Lytechinus pictus: one gene and its partners. The protein of the gene in region 1 purifies or fractionates together with the protein of each later gene. This does not show direct contact. Links are inferred from orthologs where the notes say so. Each region holds a gene or a part of one and is shown on either strand. Other genes may lie near its edges.

What was found.
Region 2: the proteins of probable 18S rRNA (guanine-N(7))-methyltransferase (region 1) and (E3-independent) E2 ubiquitin-conjugating enzyme-like purify together in Homo sapiens (affinity purification with mass spectrometry; 5 studies listed by BioGRID and IntAct, counting the BioPlex papers as one, with this or other methods). This does not show direct contact. The link is inferred for Lytechinus pictus from reciprocal best matches to the Homo sapiens genes BUD23 and UBE2O.
Region 3: the proteins of probable 18S rRNA (guanine-N(7))-methyltransferase (region 1) and multifunctional methyltransferase subunit TRM112-like protein purify together in Homo sapiens (affinity purification with mass spectrometry; 5 studies listed by BioGRID and IntAct, counting the BioPlex papers as one, with this or other methods). This does not show direct contact. The link is inferred for Lytechinus pictus from reciprocal best matches to the Homo sapiens genes BUD23 and TRMT112.

Annotation. Positions count from the first base shown.
Region 1 is NC_087246.1:34,126,470-34,134,168, forward strand, and holds the start of probable 18S rRNA (guanine-N(7))-methyltransferase, read left to right. Parts: upstream 1-4,683; 5' UTR 4,684-4,716; intron 4,717-5,243; 5' UTR 5,244-5,250; coding exon 5,251-5,339; intron 5,340-6,841; coding exon 6,842-6,924; intron 6,925-7,699.
Region 2 is NC_087254.1:31,378,427-31,385,416, forward strand, and holds the start of (E3-independent) E2 ubiquitin-conjugating enzyme-like, read right to left. Parts: upstream 3,041-6,990; coding exon 3,017-3,040; intron 1-3,016. UniProt on the Homo sapiens protein: E2/E3 hybrid ubiquitin-protein ligase that displays both E2 and E3 ligase activities and mediates monoubiquitination of target proteins. Negatively regulates TRAF6-mediated NF-kappa-B activation independently of its E2 activity.
Region 3 is NC_087251.1:25,026,438-25,034,391, forward strand, and holds the start of multifunctional methyltransferase subunit TRM112-like protein, read right to left. Parts: upstream 3,088-7,954; 5' UTR 2,944-3,087; coding exon 2,845-2,943; intron 1-2,844. UniProt on the Homo sapiens protein: Acts as an activator of both rRNA/tRNA and protein methyltransferases. Together with methyltransferase BUD23, methylates the N(7) position of a guanine in 18S rRNA.

The DNA of each region.
Region 1 (7,699 bases):
ATGCCAATTTTCGGTATAAAATATTCTTTATATTACATGTATACCATTTCTAACAATTGTAAATGAAAAAAAAAACATTTTGAAAATCAATATCTTGTATGTTGTTTAAGGAATTCCTTTTGTATTTCCTTGTTTTTTACCTTGTGTTTTTCTTTGTTCTTTTCACTAGATTTATTGCAGAACTTTTTTTAAGCATGATTATGCTAAGAATTTACTTCAGTTGATAAAAGAAAAACTGTAAAAATAACCATATCTCTTGGAATGAGATAATAAAAATCAACTTTACATTGATTTGACTTTGTACACAAATTCATGTTTTGGAGCAATTTGTGGTCTGATATGCACTTATGTCAGGCCTGACTTGCGTAATGTTGCATAATTTTGCAACCGGGTACCTGAGTATCACAAATTAGGTCACCAAAGATGTGCAAGACTTAAAGGGGAAGTTCACCCTGAAGAAAAGATTGTTGTAAAATAGCAGCAAAAGTAATAAAAAATATTGCCGAAGGTTTGAGGAAAAACCGTTAAAGATTAAGAAAGTTATTAGAATTCAAAGTTCTGGATTTGTGACGTCATAAACGAGCAGCTGCCCCATATGTTATGTAATATAAAATGCATGAATTTTAAATTTTGTATGGTTCCCGATGACTTAATTTTGTTTCTATTCATGATCGGGTGTGAAATGATTTGTATATTGATATACGAAAGGGACAGTAAAAAACCATTTTCAATTTTCTGAGAAAATGAGATTTCATTAATTTTTACCATTCGCTATGTAGGAATGCTGCTCGCATATGACGTCACAAATCAAATAATTAAAATTCTAATAACTTTTTAATTCTTTGATGAATTTTTCTCAAACCTTCGGCAATATTTTTAATTATTTTTTCTGCTATTTAAAAACAAACCTTTTGTCAGGGTGAACTTCCCCTTTAAAAGTAAAACATTAATGTTTGATCAATACATCACTTTTTTCATTCAATTATACTCTCTTGAATTTAATGTATTTCAAATTTCTATACTTCTACAATTAACACTTGGGCTGTCATTTTATTGGATTCTGAAATTCTATTCAAAATACAGTACATGCCAAAAGTTTTGGGCCACCCTTAAATTTAAAAGATAATCATACATAATACTGCATTCTGCATATAATCATATGTTTAGATACTGAACGGGCTATGACAGCTAGGTTCATTACATCACAAAAGCATGTTTCCAACCAGTTTTGACTGCTCTTTTGTGAACCCCAGTCGGTTTTCAGAATATATTCAAATTTAAACTTTAAAGGTATGCATAAAATTTCAATTTAAACCAAAGGTTGTTTTTGACAACCTGAAAGTTTGTTCAAGGCTTGTTCTGACATAGCAAAAAAAATATATGCAAACTGGATACTAGTAGAAGATATTTGAAGGTTTACATGGTGGCATGAACAGTCGCTGAAGTGGTTTTTACGGTACACCATATATAAAGTCTTGGCAAGGAGAGATAAAAGTGGATAGAGGTAGAAGAGAACTAGAGAGGCGAGAAAGTGGAGGTTAGAAAGTAGAGTGAGTATGTTTTGGAAATTAGTGTAGTCTTAAAGAGGACCGTAAACCAGAAATAGTGCCAAGCTTGAGCGGTAGGCAGGATGAGAGGCTTGAGTAGAAGGCTTGTTGAATTGGAGGGGTGAGAGAGGATTGAGTAGATGAGAGAAGGCTGGCTTGAGTTGGCGAGTTGAGTTGTAGAGCAGGAGAGAAGACTTGACGTTTGAGGCAGGTTGACTGTCCGATTGACAGGTTAACATGTATGATGTGTTGCTATGTCAGACCAGCCTTGGTCAAGCTTTCAGGTTGTCAAAAAACAACCTTTGCTTTAAATATATTCAAATTTTATGCATACCTTTGAAGTTTAAATTTGAATATATTATGAAAACCGACTAGGGCTCACAGAACTGCACTCAAAACCGGTTGGAAACATGCTTGTGTGATGTTTTGAACCTAGCTGGCATAGCCTATTCAGTATCAATACATTTGATTATATGCAGAATGCAGTGTTACGTATGATTATCTTCTAAATCTGAGGATGGACCCAAACTTTTGGCCTGTACTGTTATTGTTTAGATTGTCACCACTAATACTGGCTTGTTTATGTTTAAAGGTCAAGTCCACCTCAGAAAAATGTTGATTTGAATAAAAAGAGAAAAATTCAACAAGCACAATGCTGAAAATTTCATCAAAATCTGATGTAAAATAAGAAAGTTATGACATTTCAAAGTTTCGCTCTTTTTTAACAAAATAGTTATATGAACGAGCCAGTTACATCCAAATGAGAGAGTCGATGATGTCACTCACTCACTATTTCTTTTGTTTTTTATAAGCCTGAGTCATATCGATTATTTTGAAAACCGATGTTTGACAGCTTTAATTCGATCGAACATCGATGCATCGAAATTTGAAGGCGGGGAAAATCAAGTCATTTTTTTGGCTCCGGCCGGCCGTCGATGCATGCGCTATGCATGCACTATACATGCACTGACTGTCTGCGCTGGCCGGGTGAGCGTTGCAAAAGCAGATGACAGAGCAAAGTTCGTATGTATTTTCCATGATCACAAAACACAAAAAAGGCCGGGGAGCAATGCAGAATTCTTCCCAAAATATCTTCAACAATGATATTTGCAGATGATAACATATAAGTTTAAAATGAAACAATATTAAAGACATGAATCACGCAGAGTCGATCCGAATGATTTTCGGTCAACACGCATTCGCAGTCCAGACTCGCCCACACCACCCCTTCCGCAGCCAGCCCCGTACACTCACTCTCCCGAAACGACAGGCGTGCTTGCCAGCGCCATCTAACAAGTGCAAACAGCGGGGAGAGCGCTGTAACTTGCCTGAGATTGTGTAGTTGGATCCAAAATTAGCTCCAAATAAATTGATGGGAATAAATACGTAATTTTATCTGGATGGTCATTTGAATTGGTATTCAATGCTGATATAACGATTGTGAGGAAAGATTGTGGAATATGAGTTCTGGCGATGTTCGAGACTTTATAATCCTGATAATGATAATCCATTTTTTTAGACACAAGCGCTTGTGATCGAAATAAATACGAATGTCTCGGATCGATCTCTAAATTCATATAAATTATTATTGGATGTTAAATAATTACGATTTAATAAGATTTTATGGCCATACTAAAAATATTGACGACGTCAGCAAAGTATGTTGTGTTCATATGGAAGAATTCATTAATAGTATTATACTGGCATTATTTTTATTTTTTATTCCATCTCTGGACGTCTCTGAGCTCCAAGAAAAGAAGCACAATGCGCATGCGCATTCGATGACGTCTGACATATTTTCCATTCATGAAATCAGAGCCCAAAGTTGGGCACAAACGAGCTTCAAATTGATGGGAAAAAAATATCAAACATAATTTTTCTCTGTTTTGTCATGTAAAATATTATTATATGGTGATATTACGATCTTCAAAAGAGTTTCTACATGTTGACAATGTTCGATAATCAATCCTGACGTGATAATTATTTTTTTAGGCAAGTGCACTCACTCAAGTCGATCGTCATGTGATGTCCGCCATTTAAAATTGAAACGAAATACAAACGTTTCACATCAAGCTCTAAATTCATATTAATGATTATCATATGCAAATTATTGTTAAATATTACAATTAAATCATGTTCTATGGTCATGATATTAATATTGTTCATGAAAGCAAGATTTACTTTACGTTGATCGCGTCAATTTTCCGGCCATTTTCTGATTTGATTAAAGCACAGTACTGCGCATGCACGATCAATGGCGACTTCCATTCATAAATTCATCGTGCATAAATTATCTCGGCACGAGCAGGCGAGCCGGGCAGACGAGTAAGACTCGAACTATGATCAAAATAAACTTCAAATTAATGGTGAATAGGCATCATAATTACACAATCGGTTTCATTTTGGGGGCAATATAAATGAAGTAAGTAGTAGTCAAGTTGGATATTACTGTTTATTTTGATGTTTGATTGTGTGAACCAAACGAATCGGCCGGCCGACATATATTTTTTTTTTTTTTCGATGCACCGATTTTGCAAAATCTGCACCGGCGTTCGATGACATCGATCGAACACCGATTTTAAAATCGATTCGACTCAGGCTTAGTTTTTTATTGTTTGAATTATAAAATATTTCAATTTTTACGAATTTGATGATTAGGACCTCCTTGCCTGAAGCACAAAATGTTAAAATAATGGAATTCCACGTGTTCAGGGAGGAATGAAACTTCATTTCACATGACAATGACGAGAAAATCAAAATATTTCATATTTCATATAATAAAATACAAAAGAAATAGTGAGTGAGTGATGTCATCAGTTCCCTCATTTGCATACTGACCGAGATGTGCATATAACTGTTTTGTGAAATGAAGCGAAACTTTAAAATGTCATAACTTTCTTATTTTACATCCGATTTTGATGAAATTTTCAGTGTTTTGCTTGTTGAATTTTTCTCTTTTTATTCAAATCAAGTTTTTGTTGGGGTGGACTTGTCCTTTAAGAAGTTCAGTGTTTTAAACTGAAGTTATTAATATGATGAATGGTTACTGTGGTTTATGGCTTCAATTATTTGTCACAACTCTGTTATATACAATGATTATGTCATATCTTTTTTATTTGTTTATATTCCAGTTTTATAATGATGATGAAGCAAGGAAATACACATCTAAGTAAGTATATTCACTGCTTAATCAGATAGAGAAGTTATGCTAAGTTTTACTTCACTTGTTCACACAACACTGAAGAAAATAGTGAAGCTGTTGATAAAACCTTTCTCCAGTCATCCTGTGTACAAGAGATTTGCACAAAGTGTGTTGCTTCATGTACATTTTTCATCCCTTATTTTCTGAGGATAAGTATTGTTGTTGGTGTATAATGAAAACATGTTCTTTCACCAAGTCTCTTTTTTTTAAAAGCTTCCGCCGACCGTATGTGGTTGTGGAGGCGTAGTGTTTTTGGGTCGCCTGTCTGCCCCCTTTTGTTCTCTTGATAACTCACTGTTTGACGTACTGACTTCATATTTGGATCATACATTTGGGACTGACGATGAACTGCTTTGTTTTGGGGGTATGGAGGTGAGATGTTTAAGGTCTCGGAGGTCATTGTACACCTTAAAATGCATTGCACTGTTCATTTAATGACTCAAGAACCCGTTGACCGATCAACTTCATACTTTTTATCTCCTTTAATTCTATAGTTCAAGAATGATAGAGATTCAAATGACCATGTCTGAGAGAGCAATAGAACTCCTGTCTCTTCCCGAAGACACTCCTTCCTTCATTTTGGATATTGGGTAAGTTCCAATTGTTTAGACACCTCACCGAAAGTCCGTGCATGGTCATTCAGCATGAATCCTGTCATAAAGGCACTTTTCGGCTTTCAAGTGGGCTTACCGGCCTTTCATGCATTTGTTTTTGTCAATGTTGAAATATGAGGATTATCATTGACAGGGTTCCCAGCCCATCAGGGAAATGAGGGAAAATTATTTTACTTTTTTCCAGTCAGGGAAAAATCGGAATTTGATAAAAATACCTCAAATCAGGGAAAAATGCCTCAAATGAGGGAAAAATAAGGGAATTTTTTTGATCGGCCCAAAAGGAGAGAGCACGGTAGTCAGTCAGACTCTTATATTTTGTTGCATATCAAAACAACATCCATTGATTGACTGGTTATTGTGATTATGGGGTATGGTGGATGGCTTGATGGGGGAGAAGGGAGGCCATTATATGCCTGTGTAATAGCACTAATTAGTTTTACATGTACATTATTGTTTTTATACTGAAAATACATGTAATTCACTGCAACAACTTCGAAAACATGCGAAATTGGGAACGGGTTTAAATAATTATCAGGGAATTTTCAAACTTTATCAGAGAAAAATCCGAATTTTTTTTCTTGAAAAGCTGGGAACCCTGATTGAAACATTGTTTTGTTTTTGAAAAAACTATGAAGATTAACAATGAAACACATTTTGCGGGATTCCTGCTTGAAAGTCTAGCTCTCAATCTTGGTACATTGTCTCATTCTGCAACCAGTCAAATTCATTTAGTCTCACAGGAGACTATGGTATAACAGGCATTCTATGTAGTACTAGCTAAGATTTTGAGACGTTCATTTAATTTTTTTAGCAACCCCAGGCCCTGTAACATAGAGCTTCGTGATTGATCTTGTGTCAGATTTTGATGATTGATCATACACAATGATCAATGCAATCAATCATGGAAACCAGCCCCACGATCAATCGCTATGCTTTATGTTACCGGGCCCAGGGTCCCGTCTTACAAAGAGTTACGATTGATCTGATCAATCACAACTATGGACGGCCAGCAATGTCAACATGTATTATGCATGTTTGTTAAATAGAATTTTCTATTCATGCATTTGTTGTTTTCTTAAAAATTTACTGTGCTTCTCTTTGTTTACAAAGGACATTGTGCAAATATTCTGTAGATAAAATTATGGTATAGATGGATTTCCATAGAGTTACGTTTGATTGGATCAATTGTAACTCTTTGTAAGATGGGCCTTACAAAGAGTTGCGATTGATCCAATCAATCAGAACTATGGAAAGCCAGCAAAGTCAGAACTTCAGAATTAAATATTTACCTGATAATGTGTTTTAGTGAACAATCACATTTTGTTTGAAAGAATATGTATATGTTTGGGTTATAATAATTACACCACTTTCCTACTAAACTCCCATACAGTATTATAGTCTAATAATTATTTCCCAGGCTGTATAGTTGACACTTGTTTTATTTTCTCTCGACTCAATTTTTTTTTCCACCTTTGTAGTTGTGGTTCTGGTTTGAGTGGGGAAGCTCTGACAGAGCAAGGTCATCACTGGGTAGGAATGGATATCAGTTCAAGCATGTTAGGTAAGTTTGAATCTCTGTGCAGTTAATACAGGAACTGGTTATTTGTTATCTGTGTTCACTTCAGTTGAGGTTTCATAACCCAAAGTCAAAGCGGCACTTCACGCAGGAATCCTTTGCATCTCCTTTCTTGCTAATGACCACATTCGTCATCTAGACAATGCAATGGGGACTGTGGGGGTCGTCGCTGTGAAAGATGCATAGTGCCTATGAGGTGGGAGCCAAAGACATATCTCTTCCATAGCAGCTTTCTTGCATTCTCCATTGTTTTGTTTATGATGAACGTTAGGATTAGTCCTGAAAAGACGTTTGCAAGATTCCAATAAGAAAGATGCGGCTCTCACTTTTGGTAAGGTGCTTTGATTTAATTTCTGTTTGAGAACGTAAAAGCACATCCAGTGTAATAGTCTAGATAATAATCATGCATTTTTTAAAAGTAAATGTGAATAAAAAAACCCAGTCAATCAAACAATAGTAGCTTTTAGTGATTATTATTAGTTTGTACAAGAACTACTGCTGATGGGTGTTTCATAAAGCTGTTCGTAAGTTAAAGGACAAGTCCACCCCAACAAAAAGTTAATTAAAATAAAAAGAGAAAAATCCAACAAGCATAACACTGAAAATTTCATCAAAATCGGATGTAAAATAAGAAAGTTATGACATTTTCGCTTAATTTCACAAAACAGTTAAATGCACATCCCGGTCGGTATGTATATGAGGGAAGTGATGACATCACTCACTCACTATTTTGTATTCTATAATATGAAATATTCTAATT
Region 2 (6,990 bases), on another chromosome or scaffold:
AAGAACTTTGCGATTTACTCAGGGAGAAGGGTGCAGCGCTTTCGACAGGAAATACGGAGTTACTGAGAGAAACCCAATGAAAAATCAAGCAGCAGACGGAAAAATGTAAAAGTTCCTACAAAGAAAAGATTGAACGGAACTCTTGAGATAATAACCCCAGAAAGGCATGGAAAACAATGCAGGATATTACTCGATACAACAAAGATAAATCAAAATCTGTGCCAACAGAACAAGATATTGGTTTTGTTGATGATCTAAATAATTTTTAATGTCGTTTTGATGTTGAAAATTTTGGTAGTGAAAATGAAGGAATCAAAAGTAAGGTGAACGAGATGCCTGATCAAACACCTATCCAAATTTCTGAGCATGACGTAAGAAGAATATTTTCAGGCTTACAAACACACAAATCTCCCAGGCCAGATGGCCTAGGTAACAAGGTACTTAAAGGTCAAGTCCACCCCAGTAAAATATTGATTTGAATAAATAGAGAAAAATCAGACTGGCACAACATTGAAAATTTCATCAAAATCGGATGAAAAACAAAAAAGTTATGACATTTTAAAACGTTTGCTTGTCAAAACGGAGCCTTAATAATCCAAAATCACTTAGCTTATAGTTGTGAATTATAGCTTTTTAATTTCTTTCTTGGAGAGGGGTAATTTTTTTTTATAAATTTATTACTAATTGATCTGAATTCTCTCTTTCTCCATCTCTCTCTCTCTCTCTATTTTTGTATTTTTATTTTACTCATTCTATGCTCAACTCAGCGATATGCAAATGAGAGAGTTGATGATGTCACTCACTGGCTATTTCTTTTGTTTTTATTGTTTGAATTATACAATATTTCATTTTTTTACGGATATGACAATTATGACCATCTTGTTCGAACCACAAAATGTAAAAACAATCAAATTCCACATGTTAAGGGAGGAACGAAACTTTGCTCACATGACAATGAGGAGAAAATTCAAATATTTCATATAATATGATACAAAAGAAATAGTGAGTGGGTTATGGTCAATTCCAGCGCAACGGACATGACGTTCAGACAAATTTTTATAATTCAAAGGTAAATACAGTAGAATTAGCAGTCTTTTGATAATTGTTACTGAGCTTATCAGACACATTTAAGTATCAGTTACATACACATGAAATTTCAAATCGTTTCGTTGAACAGTTGCTGAGAAATTGCACTCTTTGTGAGCGTAACGGACATGACACGAAATGGACGAAGCATTTTTACCTCCTATTGCTTATCAAAATTCCTGTGAATTCTTAGATTGCATGCACCTGATGTTGGTGTTGATTTAACCTTAAGATCATGCTCTATCCATAAAATAGTGTTTAACAACAGTTTTGCAGTGCATTCTGTATTCATAGCTCAAAATGTAGCGTAACGGACATGACACACGAAGCGTAACGGACATGACACACGAAGCGTAACGGACATGACAGTTTCGTCCACTTTTTGTAAGCAAATATAATTATTTTATTACAAGATATGGTACAAGTCTAATTGTTTACATGTTAAGGCTAGAGGTTAGAGACACACATCATAACTGGTAATCTGTAATATCTCCTATTATTTTGCAATTTGAGAGAGGGGCTTTTCGTACAATATTTATAAAACAAACAAATATTTAGAAAAATTTATTTTTCACCAATTAACAACAGTTAATGAGTATTTTCCAGTTACTACCATCTGCAACACCAAACTAAAAGAGAAAAAGTTGATAGTAAAGATTATCTTTTAGTCATGGCTTACTATTTGACAATGTACTTAGCGTAACGGACATGACACCCTTACGAAGTGAACTTCATCAGCACTTCTTAGTTTCAAAATGAAAGAAATATGAATGAATGAATGTAATTATGTAACAGCAAAGTACCTTTACTAACATTCTAAAGAAAAATATGTAGATATTATTGGCAGGTATTATTAATTTAATAGCTAAAGCCTACATGATAATTTTATATAGAATACAATGCTTAATAGTACCGCTACGGCCTACGGCACACTGAGAAGACCAAATCTCATTTTTTGTGAGAAGAAAACAAAATGTACCAGACCTGTATAAATCCAAGATGAACATATGAAATATATTTTATGATAAAGAATAATATGAACTAGTATTAATGTCAGTTTTAAGATAAAAAAATGATATTAAAAAGTATTTTAAAATTTAATAGCAGTACCTGGAAACCAGTCTTTCATTATCGATTATGTATGAGTTGAAAGGTAATCGGAATGTTTGTAAATCGCTTCTGAGATTTTTTTTCATTCAAAATAAATATCATCCTGAGTATAATCATCCTTTCATCAATTCTTGGATGTTCTAAATCTTACTATCTTGCTTGCTGACAAATGTGGCTGTATCTAATTATGTTGCATTGTCCGTGCTGCTTGTGTACAAATGAAGATACATCATTCAAATCGTGATTATGGCTGACCAAAATACTATGATGACATAATTTATTGATAGCGCCACATTCCTTCCATAGCCCCTTTGCTTTGTGATATTGCAAAGAAGTGCCACTGTAGATTCATGGATTCATAGAGCTACATCATGTAACACAGATATCTGAATACAAACTTGTTTTTAAATGTGAGCCCGTGCCATCACTGAAGAAGTTGAGGTTGGTGAAAGTCAGATACTTTGAAGCAATATCATCAATGATCTCATGAATTCACAAGTTGGAATTTTATCATGCTCCAAACTGTCAGTGCAAACACCTAAGATAATCAATCGTATTGTTCAAACACAAATGATACAGATTGTGATCTGAGTATGTTGCCAGATCTAGCTGCATCTTATCCTAATATTATGTGGCATATTGTTAATTCTCAGAAAAATATACCAGAACAAGAGCTGAACTTTCATCATTCACCAACTTCGAAAAATAGCTTGAATGACATGCAGATTTTAGGAGTTATTACATCCAGCTATCCTCAAGCAATTGAGACTGACCTCAGTCTGTGACACTGAGCCTAATATTTTGTTTTTGTGAATGCTACCTTTTGTCGTATATAAGGCGTCATGTCCGTTACACGATTTGTCATGTCCGTTACGCCATTTTTATGAAAATGAGAAGTGGTAAGGGAAAATGATTGCTACACATGGTAGGGGGATTAATTCTAACATAGAATCTGAATCTGCAGTACCTTCAGACAAATTTCCTGTAAGCTGTGAAAACTTTAAGTGAAAAACGTAACGGACATGACACTGAAAATGATAAAGAAATCACACAAATCTGAAGATCGATTTCTTTAAAATTGATGAATGGCATAAAATTTAATGATGATTTTGTATTGATGTAAACATTAATCAACTATTCAGAAGTTAAAAGAGACCTCTGGGACCTTATTTGCTTTTAGTAGAGACAGAAAAGATGAATTGTTTAAAAATAGCCACGTTTTTTAGATTTTGCAATTTACTATTCAATTTTTTTTATGATGGAAAAAAATACAAAATTTTATCAATATTGCAATTTTTCTATTGGAAATTGAAACTTTATAGATTACTTTTTAAGAAAATTTAACTGCTTAAGTGAAATCTGAAACTTCATTTTTTCTCTAAAGTGAACATTTTCCATGGAATTGCCCTTATGTCATCAGTCCCCTCATTTATAGTGACCAGGGGGGTGTTTCATCAATATTTTCGTCCGACAACTGTCAGCGCTGACTAAAATTGTCAGCGCTGACAATTTAGTCAGCGCTGACAAAAATTCGTTTCATCAAACTCTCGGAGCTCCTCTGACTATTGTCAGAGAATTTTTATTTTACAAATCGTCTTGAACGAGGTTCGCTGACTAATTAGGCCACGCCCACTCCCAAAGTCGTGAAAAAGATGTAAAATTGATTGATGTTTTCGCCACGACGATTCGAAATGAAACGAAGAAATGAGAAGAAGCGAAGGTCCTCGTAGAGGTGAATGAGGATTTTACCGTAAGTAAAACCCTTCAAAATGTCGTTCATATTGTATGTAAGGTGATTGAATTATTCGTTGTGCGTGATTATCAAATGAATTACAAGAAAAGAGGATCTTCTGGCAGGACCCCTGTCGATACGATCGGTGAACTTGACAGTACAAAATCCAGTCTAGTCCCATACCCGTGTTTCTGTGTCTGTAGAACTATCTCAGGTCCAAACTAACGACACGGCTCACGGCTGTCACGTTTTTATGATCCGCACATGGCTGCAATGTTATAAATTTTGCAAAGAGAATTCTTTATATTGTTCTACCTTTATGTCATTCTATGTTGCAAATCATATTTTTTCATTTCCTTTGGTTTTGTAATAATTTTGTTGCTCGGTGTAGTCGGAGATTGGCTTGATCACCAGGCAAACCAGCGTGTGCAATTGTAAATGTACACATATCCAATGGGGCCATCCTAATTCTGTGTTACAGAAATTGGAATTGAACAGGAGCTAAATCACATGGTAATAGTGTGAGTGGTAAATTTGTAAAGTGGATGTTCTCAACTATTAATGTAGGCTTAGCCTTAGCAAGTCACAAGTCGAATGAAGTGAAGGCTCTCGACAGCTGTCGAGGATTCGGGCGGGGGGGGGGGGGTGATGCGATTGTGGCAGAGGTGCGTTCACACCCAATAAAAATTAAAATCTAGATATAAAAAAATTATTAGATCTAAGTTTTAAATAGTGCAACCGGCCCGTGGCCGTACTGGTATAGCTTATAGGCCTAGATCTATCTTAAATTATCTTTGACTTTGCGCACCCAAGTGAAATGAGCCATTTCATAGCTCCCTTTAAAAAAAAATATTGATCGTCCAATTTGGGGGAGACGAAATAATGCTCTTCATTTGTGTGCGATTATGAAGTTTGTTTGGCTTTTATTTTTCTAAGTCAATTTTTTAGACAAATTACTATTTAGCATGAATCTGCAATAGCATCGGTGTTATTGGGGTAAATAAATTAAATTATTGTTGATAATGTCTCTTAATCTATTTTTTGAAAAATACTGTCGTACCACATAAAGTTAGAGTCTAGTCATACCTAACCTTAAATAGCATGTAAAGGTTAAAGGTCTCTTCATTAGAAAAAAATATAGGAGAATATGGAATGGATCTCATCAATCCCAAGTATTTTTCTGCCTTGAATCTCATATTAAAGTTCCATTGAACAAAGGTCACAGTCCAGAAATAGTTGACAGTTTGATGGTTTGATGGGGATGCAATTTGCTGCAGTTATGAATTAGGAGCCTATTCATATTTTTTATTAATTTGATTGTGGCTTTTAACCGGCAAGGTATCCAAGCGCTATTGAGTTTGAAAAAAACTTTTATTTTTATTTTTTAATTTAAAAAAAAAATTATTGAAAAAGCTGTTTTACTATTTTGTATGGTTAATGTGTTAATTACCGTCTTGTTTATAATCAAGTGAAAATTATATGAATTAACAAGGATAAATTGTTGACCGATTGTTGGTAAATTCTATAAATTTCAGGATAATAAAAGAAGAAAAATGATTGGTATATTCGATCATTCCCCTTTATGAAATGTCAACAATATTCATTGAAAGTGCAGTATTTTTCAATGATCACTGTAAATCTACATATTTTCTTTGCTACATGTATAACAATGTGATATTATTAATATTTTAATTTCAGACTATGGACATTTGAACAGTATGCAGAAGAAGACGGATCTGGAACTAGAAAGCAAGGCTCTGACTGGTCTACTACAGCAAGGAATGTGCCAGCGGCCAATTTGATGAACATGTGACAGAAGATTTGGCAATGGGTGAAGAAATACCGAGATTGAAATGCAACCACAGGTAACATGTAGACTAGTAAAATGCGATAATGATTAAAAAATAATGAAGGATATTGTTTTGGTTGCAGAATGTAAAATCATAAAAACCCACATCAATGACAATGAAATCGGACTGTGACCGGATTTTCTATTTAAAGTCAGTTTGAAATGCAAACATTACATAAGCATGAAAGACATAATAGATTCAATATATTTTGCATGTTAGCTGCAGGGTCAGCAGAACGGTTTTGAAAGTGAGGGGGCTGAGCCGAAAGTGGGGGGGGGGGGGGGGGGCTGACCAATGCAAAAAATCATAAGCAGATGGTCAATTTTACATTTTTGTACATGGTTTTGGAAAACAGTGCGGGGGCTGAAAAATATGAAATGACCATCTGGTTACGATTTTTTGCATGGTCAGCCCGTTCACTGTAAAAACCGTTCCGCTGACCCTGCAGCTAACATGCACCCCCCCCCCCCCCGCCGGTTTCCGGAGCCCCTGCTCTCACCCCTCAATCCATTTAGCACTACTTGCTCATGTGTATGTACATACAAGCTACATTGTGAGGAATAATTTCACTTTTTAAGTTTCTCAGCCAGAGCATATGTCATTTTTACTATTGTTTGTATTTTTTATTAACATAATAAAAACTTGAACCCTTTATTTACCCCCTTCTATATGAAACCTGGTAATCAAAAGATGTTTTATTTCCTGTTTTTAGACATGTACATATACATGTGAGAAGAAATACCAGATTATGGCAAATATTTTAATTAGTTATTTCAATACTATTTTTCCTTCAGGTGGAGGCTTCAACCAAACTTTTCAGACAGACATGAGATACAAAGTTACACAAGTATAAATGGTTGAAGGTTTAGGAGAGCCAGACAAGAAGGCAGGAAATGTGATGTCACTTGTAAGTTAAAACACTCTTAATTATGACTGCCTCACTTTGGCGAAGAAAGTAAAGTCACATTAAAAAAAATATTAAATTACTGGTACTGCTCTCTTCTTTATTTGTTCTACTCAAATATTTGAAAACAATGACATCTATAAGTGCTTAGATGCTTAATTGATTAATGGTGATATTTATTGGACAGTTGTAAAACAACCAATATCAATCAATGCTAGATGGTGTGACTTGCTTTCTATTGCCAAAGTAGTAAATGAATGTTCCATTGTTCTGCATTCCTATTAGACCCCCCCCCCGCCCCATCACCA
Region 3 (7,954 bases), on another chromosome or scaffold:
GAACGACATCTCTTAACTTCTAAGCGCTTTACCAATAGTAATACCATGTTTTCAATTACATTCACAGATCTGCAGATAGACCCTATACTATAGTATACCCCGGTCATTTTTTTTCGCGGTAGACTATACGTATATGAATAGGACGCAATCCCTGGCGCTGGCGGCGAGCTCTGTGGAGAGTAAACACACGTTGGTGAATGATATTTACTCTTTACCAGGACTCAGCCTCCTGGCTAGGCCTAACTTTGTTCTTCTAAAAGTTCTAACGTTAGTTCTAACGTAATACTTTACAAAATTAGAAGACGTCTCACTCTCAGTCTCACTCAGTCCAACTCCATGCAGTCCAGGGTGACCAGACGTCCCGTATTTCCCGGGATCGTCCCGTATTTTGCTCCTTTGTCCCGGCGTCCCGACAAATCCTTCACGGGATGCCTATTTGTCCCCGTATTTCAGAATATTGAACAAAATATAGTTAATATATTTAAAAGTGGAGAATTTTCATCAAATAACCAACAGATGACGAAGCAGAGATCGGGGCAGAGATAACAATAAAATCGATAACTGTAAACTTGTGCAAGTTCTGCGGTGATTTTCTTGCTAACTCAACACCATGAATACATTGCAAATGAATGTGTGGCAGGCTACTAGCTCGGCATGGTGGATCGGAGCAGATTCTCAATGGTGCAAACAATCTCACATGATAAACAGTTTTTCCACCAAAATCATCACAAAATCGGCGGGGAATTTTTATTATGATATTATATTACTGATTTGGTGATGTAATCAGAGGAACAAGTTATCAAGTTTTCATAATTATATTGATCTAGTATTGTTTCAGCTCTTGTTTTGAGTCTTGTGATCGATGCGATCTTGTAATGGGATGGGCCTAAGAGAGATTCCTTGTGTGTGATGCATGCTGCGTTGTTTCATCTAATATTTAAATTTGACAATGTTTCACTTTGAAATTTTATTGTTATACCGAGGTTTTCACCTGACTGCTAAGAAAGCACGAATGCCTGTGAGCAAGTAACCAGAGGCCATCGGCTTAAGGTCCTCTCAGAGGGACCTGGTAATGAGGATGAATGCCTTACCAAAGGGCACTAGCGCACCACTTGGGAATCGAACCCGGGTCACCGGAATCCGAAACCCCCGCTCTACTGACTGAGCTATCGCGCCTCCTTCATTTTTTAAACATTTTAGGTTTTTTTTATAAAAAAAAATATATATATAGAAGTTTGAACTATTTCCTCTTTCGTTCTTTTCTTCTTGCCCCTTTTTCATTCCATGAATCTTTATTTCCTGATTTTTAGTCTCTCTCTATCTCTGTTCATTTTTCTGTCTTTCCTTCTTTCTTTTTTAAATTTACTTTTTTTATTTACTTCATTAATTTTCTTTCCTTAAACTTTGCTTTGCTTCCTTCTCCCTTCCTCTCCTTTTTATCTTTGTTCATTCTCTAATCTACTACTACTAGTTCCATTACTTTTTTTTTCATTCTCTCCTCCCTCTGTTTCATCCTTTCTTTCATTCTTTATTTAATTTTTCCCTTCTAATTATTTTCCCTTATTCTTTCTTTCTTTCCCTCCCTTCCTGTTTTTCTTCTTTCTTTGTTTCTTTTTCATTTTCTGAAGGAAACATTTTTCTTTCCTCCATTCTTTCTTTCCGCTTCCTCCTTTTTTCTTACCCTTTTCCTTTCTCTCCTTTATTTTTTAATTCTTTCACACATTTGTTCATCTTCCATTTCTTTCAGTTTTTCTTTTTCTTTTTTCAATTCAAAGAATGACGGAAACCTTTAATCTCTGTTATTCTTTATTTCATCCTTCTTTTATTCTAACTTCCTTTTTTCCTGCATTTTCCCTTTTTTCTTTCTTTCTTCTTTCAATTCATCTCTTTTCTTTCTCTCCTTCATTCTTTCGTTCATCCTCCCTTCCAATTGTTTATTTTTTTTACAACTTACAAGTCTAACACTGTGTCTGTGTACAGTGTAGCCTTCTTTGTTGATCTTCTTTTTATTAAGACCTGGCTCGGCCTCGGTCGATCCGCTTGTGCAGCGTGCTTTGACCTTTGTCGATTCTCCTGTAATCTGTATTTCACTTTGTGAAATCTGGTCACCCTGATGCAGTCTCACTTCTGTCTTTTCTGAAATTTATATTCTTATCTTAAAACTTAGTCTTTATGCCTTTAATACCTTTATACCGCATCTACTGGAAAAATACAGTTGTGTCTGCACTACTATTAACTAACGTTAGGTTCTAACTTTAATGTTAGATCTATTCTAGGCCTACCGTAGACAGCTGGCAGCCGTCTGTTACTCTGTTTCGAGGAGTTTTTTAACATTTTTTTTTTTTTTTAATTTCTCCTCATACACAGACGGCTCGCTAGCGTGCAGCCACCATTAGGGGACTTGCAATGCAAAATCCCCCCGTCGGGGCTCTTCAATTTTTGTCTTTAATGAGTAAAAATTTTGAAAATTCACGCGACCAAAATGCAAATTAATATTCCCTCTTGGCATCAATTGCCAAAAAACGGAGAAAAATCAAGTTAAAAGGAACAAAAACAGTGACTTACCTCGGCTGTCGCGCAAATTCACTTCCTCGTTTTATCCGATCTTAAGTACATAAACATATGGCCATTGAGTCCCCTGTACAGATCGCGCTAGAACTTCGGTCTCTGTATTTGGTGAGTGAAGCCAACGGAGTTCAGCTGAACAACCAACATAACACAGACCGAAGCTTTTGGTCTAGGCCTACCGGTACTTAAAAATAAAGTTAGATCTATTTTAACTGTTTAATCTTATTTAACTGTTTAATCTTCACTTCAGATCTTAGTCTTGACTTAGTATCTTACCTCTATTTTTAAAGGGTATCCATTTTTCACTCCTTTGACATGAGAAGTCAGCATATTATGTGTAAGTAACTTCATTGTCCTAACTACTGTCGATCTCATCTAACGTCAACGACAACGATGCGAAATCTTGTATCTAATGGTAATGCGCGTGTAATTGCGTGCATGCATGCATTACATTTCAATTGACATGGGGGCTGCCATATTTAAACCGTAATGCACGATGGGATACATAAACTAGTCTATACCTCAGACTAGGAAATAGAGAAAAATATCTATTTGATTAGTATCTAATTACTTATTTGTTCATATAGATACATATGTGTGTAATTGTGTATATATATGTATTTTATATGAGTATGAGGCCACATAGACGATGGTCATTGTTCTGTTTGTTTTAGAATAATATATCTCTCTTCTCTGAGTCTGGAATAAAATTATTGGAAATGTTTTTTTGACTGATTTGAGTAGGTATGGGTGTCAACATTTACCCCAAAAAAAGTTAGGAGGAATACGGGTTGGGGAAAGTGCTTTTTTTCAAGGTCAAAGGTCAATGACCTTTTCGTACATACTGTATAATGGTATCTCTGAGATGGAAAGGCGCAGGTTGGTGATAATGGTGTCAAAATGCACAAATTCTTACCAGAATATCAAATAGAATAAAATTAATGACCTAAAATGCACATTCACCTATAAAATTCAAGGTCAAAGCCTTTCAAAAGGTCAATGACCTTTTTTACATTATATACCATACCGTATAATGGTATCTCTGAGATGATAAGGTACATGCTGGTGATCATGGTGTCAAAATGTACAGATTCTTACAAGAAGATCAAATGAAATAAACTTAAGTACCTAGAATGCACATTCACCAATAAAATTCAAGGTCAAAGCTTTTCAAAGGTCAATGACCTATTTACATTATATACCATACTGTATAATGGTATCCCTGAGATGAAAAAGCACAGGTTGGTGATCATGGTGTCAAAATGCACAGATTCTTACCAGAAGATCAAATGGAATAAAATTAAGTACCTAGAATGCACATTCACGCATAAAATTTAAGGCCAAAGGTCAATGACCTTTTATACTACATATACCATATTATATAATTGTATCTCTAAGATAAAACGGTGCGGGTTGGTGTTCTTGGTGTCAAAACACGCATATTCTTACAGGAAGATAAAATAAAATTAAGCATAGAGAATGCACATTCACCCATAAAATTCAAGGACAAAGGTCAATGTCCTTTTTAACATTAGATGATAATAATGGTATCTCTGAGATAAAACACCGCAGGTTGGTGATCTTGGTGCCAAAATCCAAAGACTTGTACAAGAAGATTAAACAACACTAAAATAAGTATAAAGAATAAACTTTCACCCTTGAAATCCTAGATCAGAAGAAATATATAATCTATATGATGTAAAAATAACCCAAAACAATATCTTTTGTGTTCATATTTTATATCTGAATAATATGTAAATAACCATGGCTAATTTGTAATGAAAACATGGAGGTTTCATAATTTCGGTCTGAAATAATGAAGGCCATGGAGAATGTATTTTGGGGTCAGAGGTCAATGAGCCCTTTCCAAAATATCAGTGGAAATGAAGTTTAAAAAGTTGATAACCAAATAACACTTTTTCATATACTGCGATGCATTGCCAAAAGCACTGAAAAAATACATGAAATCAAGTATATAATTTGAAATGATTTTTATCTTAAGTAGCAGCATTTAATGCATCATTATATCTAAATCAAGGTTGTCGTGTCTTTTCTCTCCAGCGATAGGCCACTCATCTCAATGCTATAATAAATACTATAAACTATTAGCTTAATCTTCTGAAAATGGATAGGACAGGTCTAACTCTCATGTCACAGCAAGCATCATCTGAGAGCATTTCCAAACAGCAGAGGGATGATGATGAAATGAAGGCCATCATTAGAGCTGCAGCTTCTGTCATATACATGTAGTAAATTATATATATATCAACTTCAACAAAGGTAAATTCCCGTATTATTAGTACCTTTCATCAGTTCATTGCGAGCTGCCAGAATCTCTTGTGATGCTAATGCTGCAAGACAAACCTTCATATCTGCTCTCTGCCGTACGTCACCCATGATGCTATTTCTACTAGGTATCAGTTTGTACAAGGATCATGTTTTTGGTCCAGAAAACTGATTGTTAGCATGCACAAATTAGGCATATAACAATGCCATTCAAAAGGAGATAATAGCTTACAAGTACACATCCATCGACCTAACAAAACTCATAGCACCACTTCCAGTTCTTGAGAATCAAGCTGTGCAATTATCAGTAATAATATAGATCCTGGTCTGATATCCCTTGACAGAACGTTAGGCTTTCATTGAATGGGCCATATCAAAGTCTTGAAAATGTCAGAAGGTTTTCAAGAGTCCAATTACTCTTTGCTGAAGTTGAGACACTTAACTTCATCTATGACAAAAAAAGCTGCAGCTCTAATGATTGCCTTATTTTAATTCTTCGTCATTGTCCCTGGCTATATGCAAATGTTCTCGGATGATGCTTGCCATGAGACTTAGGCCTATCCTTTCCATTTACAGATTAAGTTATAGTGTTATAGTATTGATTGTAGCATTTGAGGTTAGTGACCTATTGCTACAGAGAAATTAGTACCTTGATTTAGATTTATAAAATGCATATCTAAATGCTGCTACTTTAGGTAACTTCACCATTGTCACCATTTCAAATTATATCACACATGATTTTTTTTAAACACTTTTGTCAATGCATTACAGTATATTATAAGAAAAAGTGCTATTTGATCCAATTTGTACCTCGAACTTGTATTTTGACATCATCATTGGTCAAGGATTCAACTATTAAATTTGTGTTCTTTTTCCACGCAGGTCAGTCTTTTTCCCATCAGAATCACTATACCTACATGCCACAATCACGTTATATCGACCTATTTACTTAAATTCCCTGACGCTATTGACATAGTTGATTGACCTTTAACTCCTAAATATATTTTCCATGGCCATTTTTTATCCTTATTTCTTTCAGAGTGAAATTATTAGACTTCCAAGTGTTCATTACAAATAGTTATCTTTCTTTCTATTATTCACAAATAAAATGTGAATATAATGGATTAATTTCTTTTTGGGGGGAATCATGCATGGATATATAAATATTTATCAACTTTTGACCTTTGACTTTGGATATTGGATTATTCTGTATGATTATTTTGAGTCTTTTTTATCTTCTTGCAAAAATTGAATTGACATCAAAATCACCAACATGCAGCGTTTTATCTCAGAGATACCTTTAGACGATATATAGCCTATGTAAAAAGGTCACTGACCTTTGACCTTGAACTTTATGGGTTAGTATGCATTCTAGGTGATTAACTTTATCTTATTTGATCTTCCTGTAAGAATCTGGGAATTTTGATCCAACGATCACCAACCTGTGCCGTTTCATCTCAGAGATACTATTATACAGTATGATACATAATGTAAAAAAGGTCATTGACCTTTGAAAGGCTTTTACCTTGAATTTTATAGTTTAATGTGCATTCTGGGTACTTAATTCTATTTTATTTGATCTTCCTGTAAGAACCTCTGCATTTTGACACCAAGATCACCAACCTGCACCTTTTCATCTCAGAGATACCATTATACCGTATATGGTATACAATGTAAAAAAAAGTAATTGAGCTTTGAAAGCTTTGACCTTGAATTTCATTCATTCGGTGAATGAGCATTGTAGGTACTTGATTTGATTTCATTTGATCTTCTTGTAAGAATCTGTGCATTTTGAAACCAAGATCACCAACCTGCGCCTTTTCATCTGAGAGATAGCATTATACCGTATATGGTATATGATGTAGAAAAAAGGTCATTGACCTTTGAAAGGCTTTGACCTTGAATTTTATTGTTTAATGTGCATTCTGGGTAATTAATTTGATTTTATTTGATCTTCCTGTAAGAACCTCTGCATTTTGACACCTAGATCACCAACCTGAAACCTTTTCATCTCAGAGATACCATTATACCGTATATGGTATATAATGTAATAAAGGTCATTGAACTTTGAAAGGCTTTGACCTTGAATTTCATGGGTGAATGAGCATTGTAGGTACTTGATTTGATTTTATTTGATCTTCTTGTAAGAATCTGTGCATTTTGACACCATGATCACCAACCTGTAATATTTTATCTGGGAGCTACCATGATACAGTATATTTAAAAAGGTCATTGACCTTTGACCTTGAAAAAAAGCACTTTCCCCAACCCGTATTCCTCCTAACTTTTTTTGGGTAAATGTTGACACCCATACCTACTCAAATCAGTCAAAAAACCATTTCCAATAATTTTATTCCAGTTGGTTACTAATTACGGGATACTAGTCTAGGTTATATTCTTTGTATTCAGTAGAGCTTATTATCCCCGGTTATTATCCATTTTGAAAAAAAAGAAGAAGAGAAAAAAAAGAAAGACAAAGGAAAGTAAGAGAAAATGAAAGGGAAAAGAAAGGAAAAGGAAAGGAAGGAGGAGAAAAAAAAGAAAAAAAAGAAGAATGGAAAGAAAAGGAGAAGAAATTAAAGGAAAAGGAATAAAGATGAAGAAATGGAAGAAAGGGAAAAAATATGTATATGCATGTGTGTTATATATATATATATCTTGTTTACTAACACCATCTCCATGTCCATATAACTTACAACCTTGATTTAACAATGTGCCATCTCATTTATTAAAGCCCTCATTTTGGATGCCCCCATAAATTTCGAATCATCCGAACCTCCCCATATCAAATTTTATCTTTTTTCTATATCAAATTTTATCTTTTTTCTTTACAAAACAAAACGGACATACATGTATTTGATTGGTATATGCGAGATCATTTCACGGGAAAAGACTCTTTAACAGTTTATTTCTTTATTTCTTTTCCGAGTTTCAAGACTATAGAGTATCCCAAAGGGAGCCCCTGTCTACACCGGAGAGATAGGACGATGTCTGGACGGTGTCGTAAGAAGGGACGGGATCATGTGGTAACCTGTAAGATACGATAGTCTTTATAATAATAATAATTAGAAAAAAAAACAAAGAAAGAAGGAGAGGAACG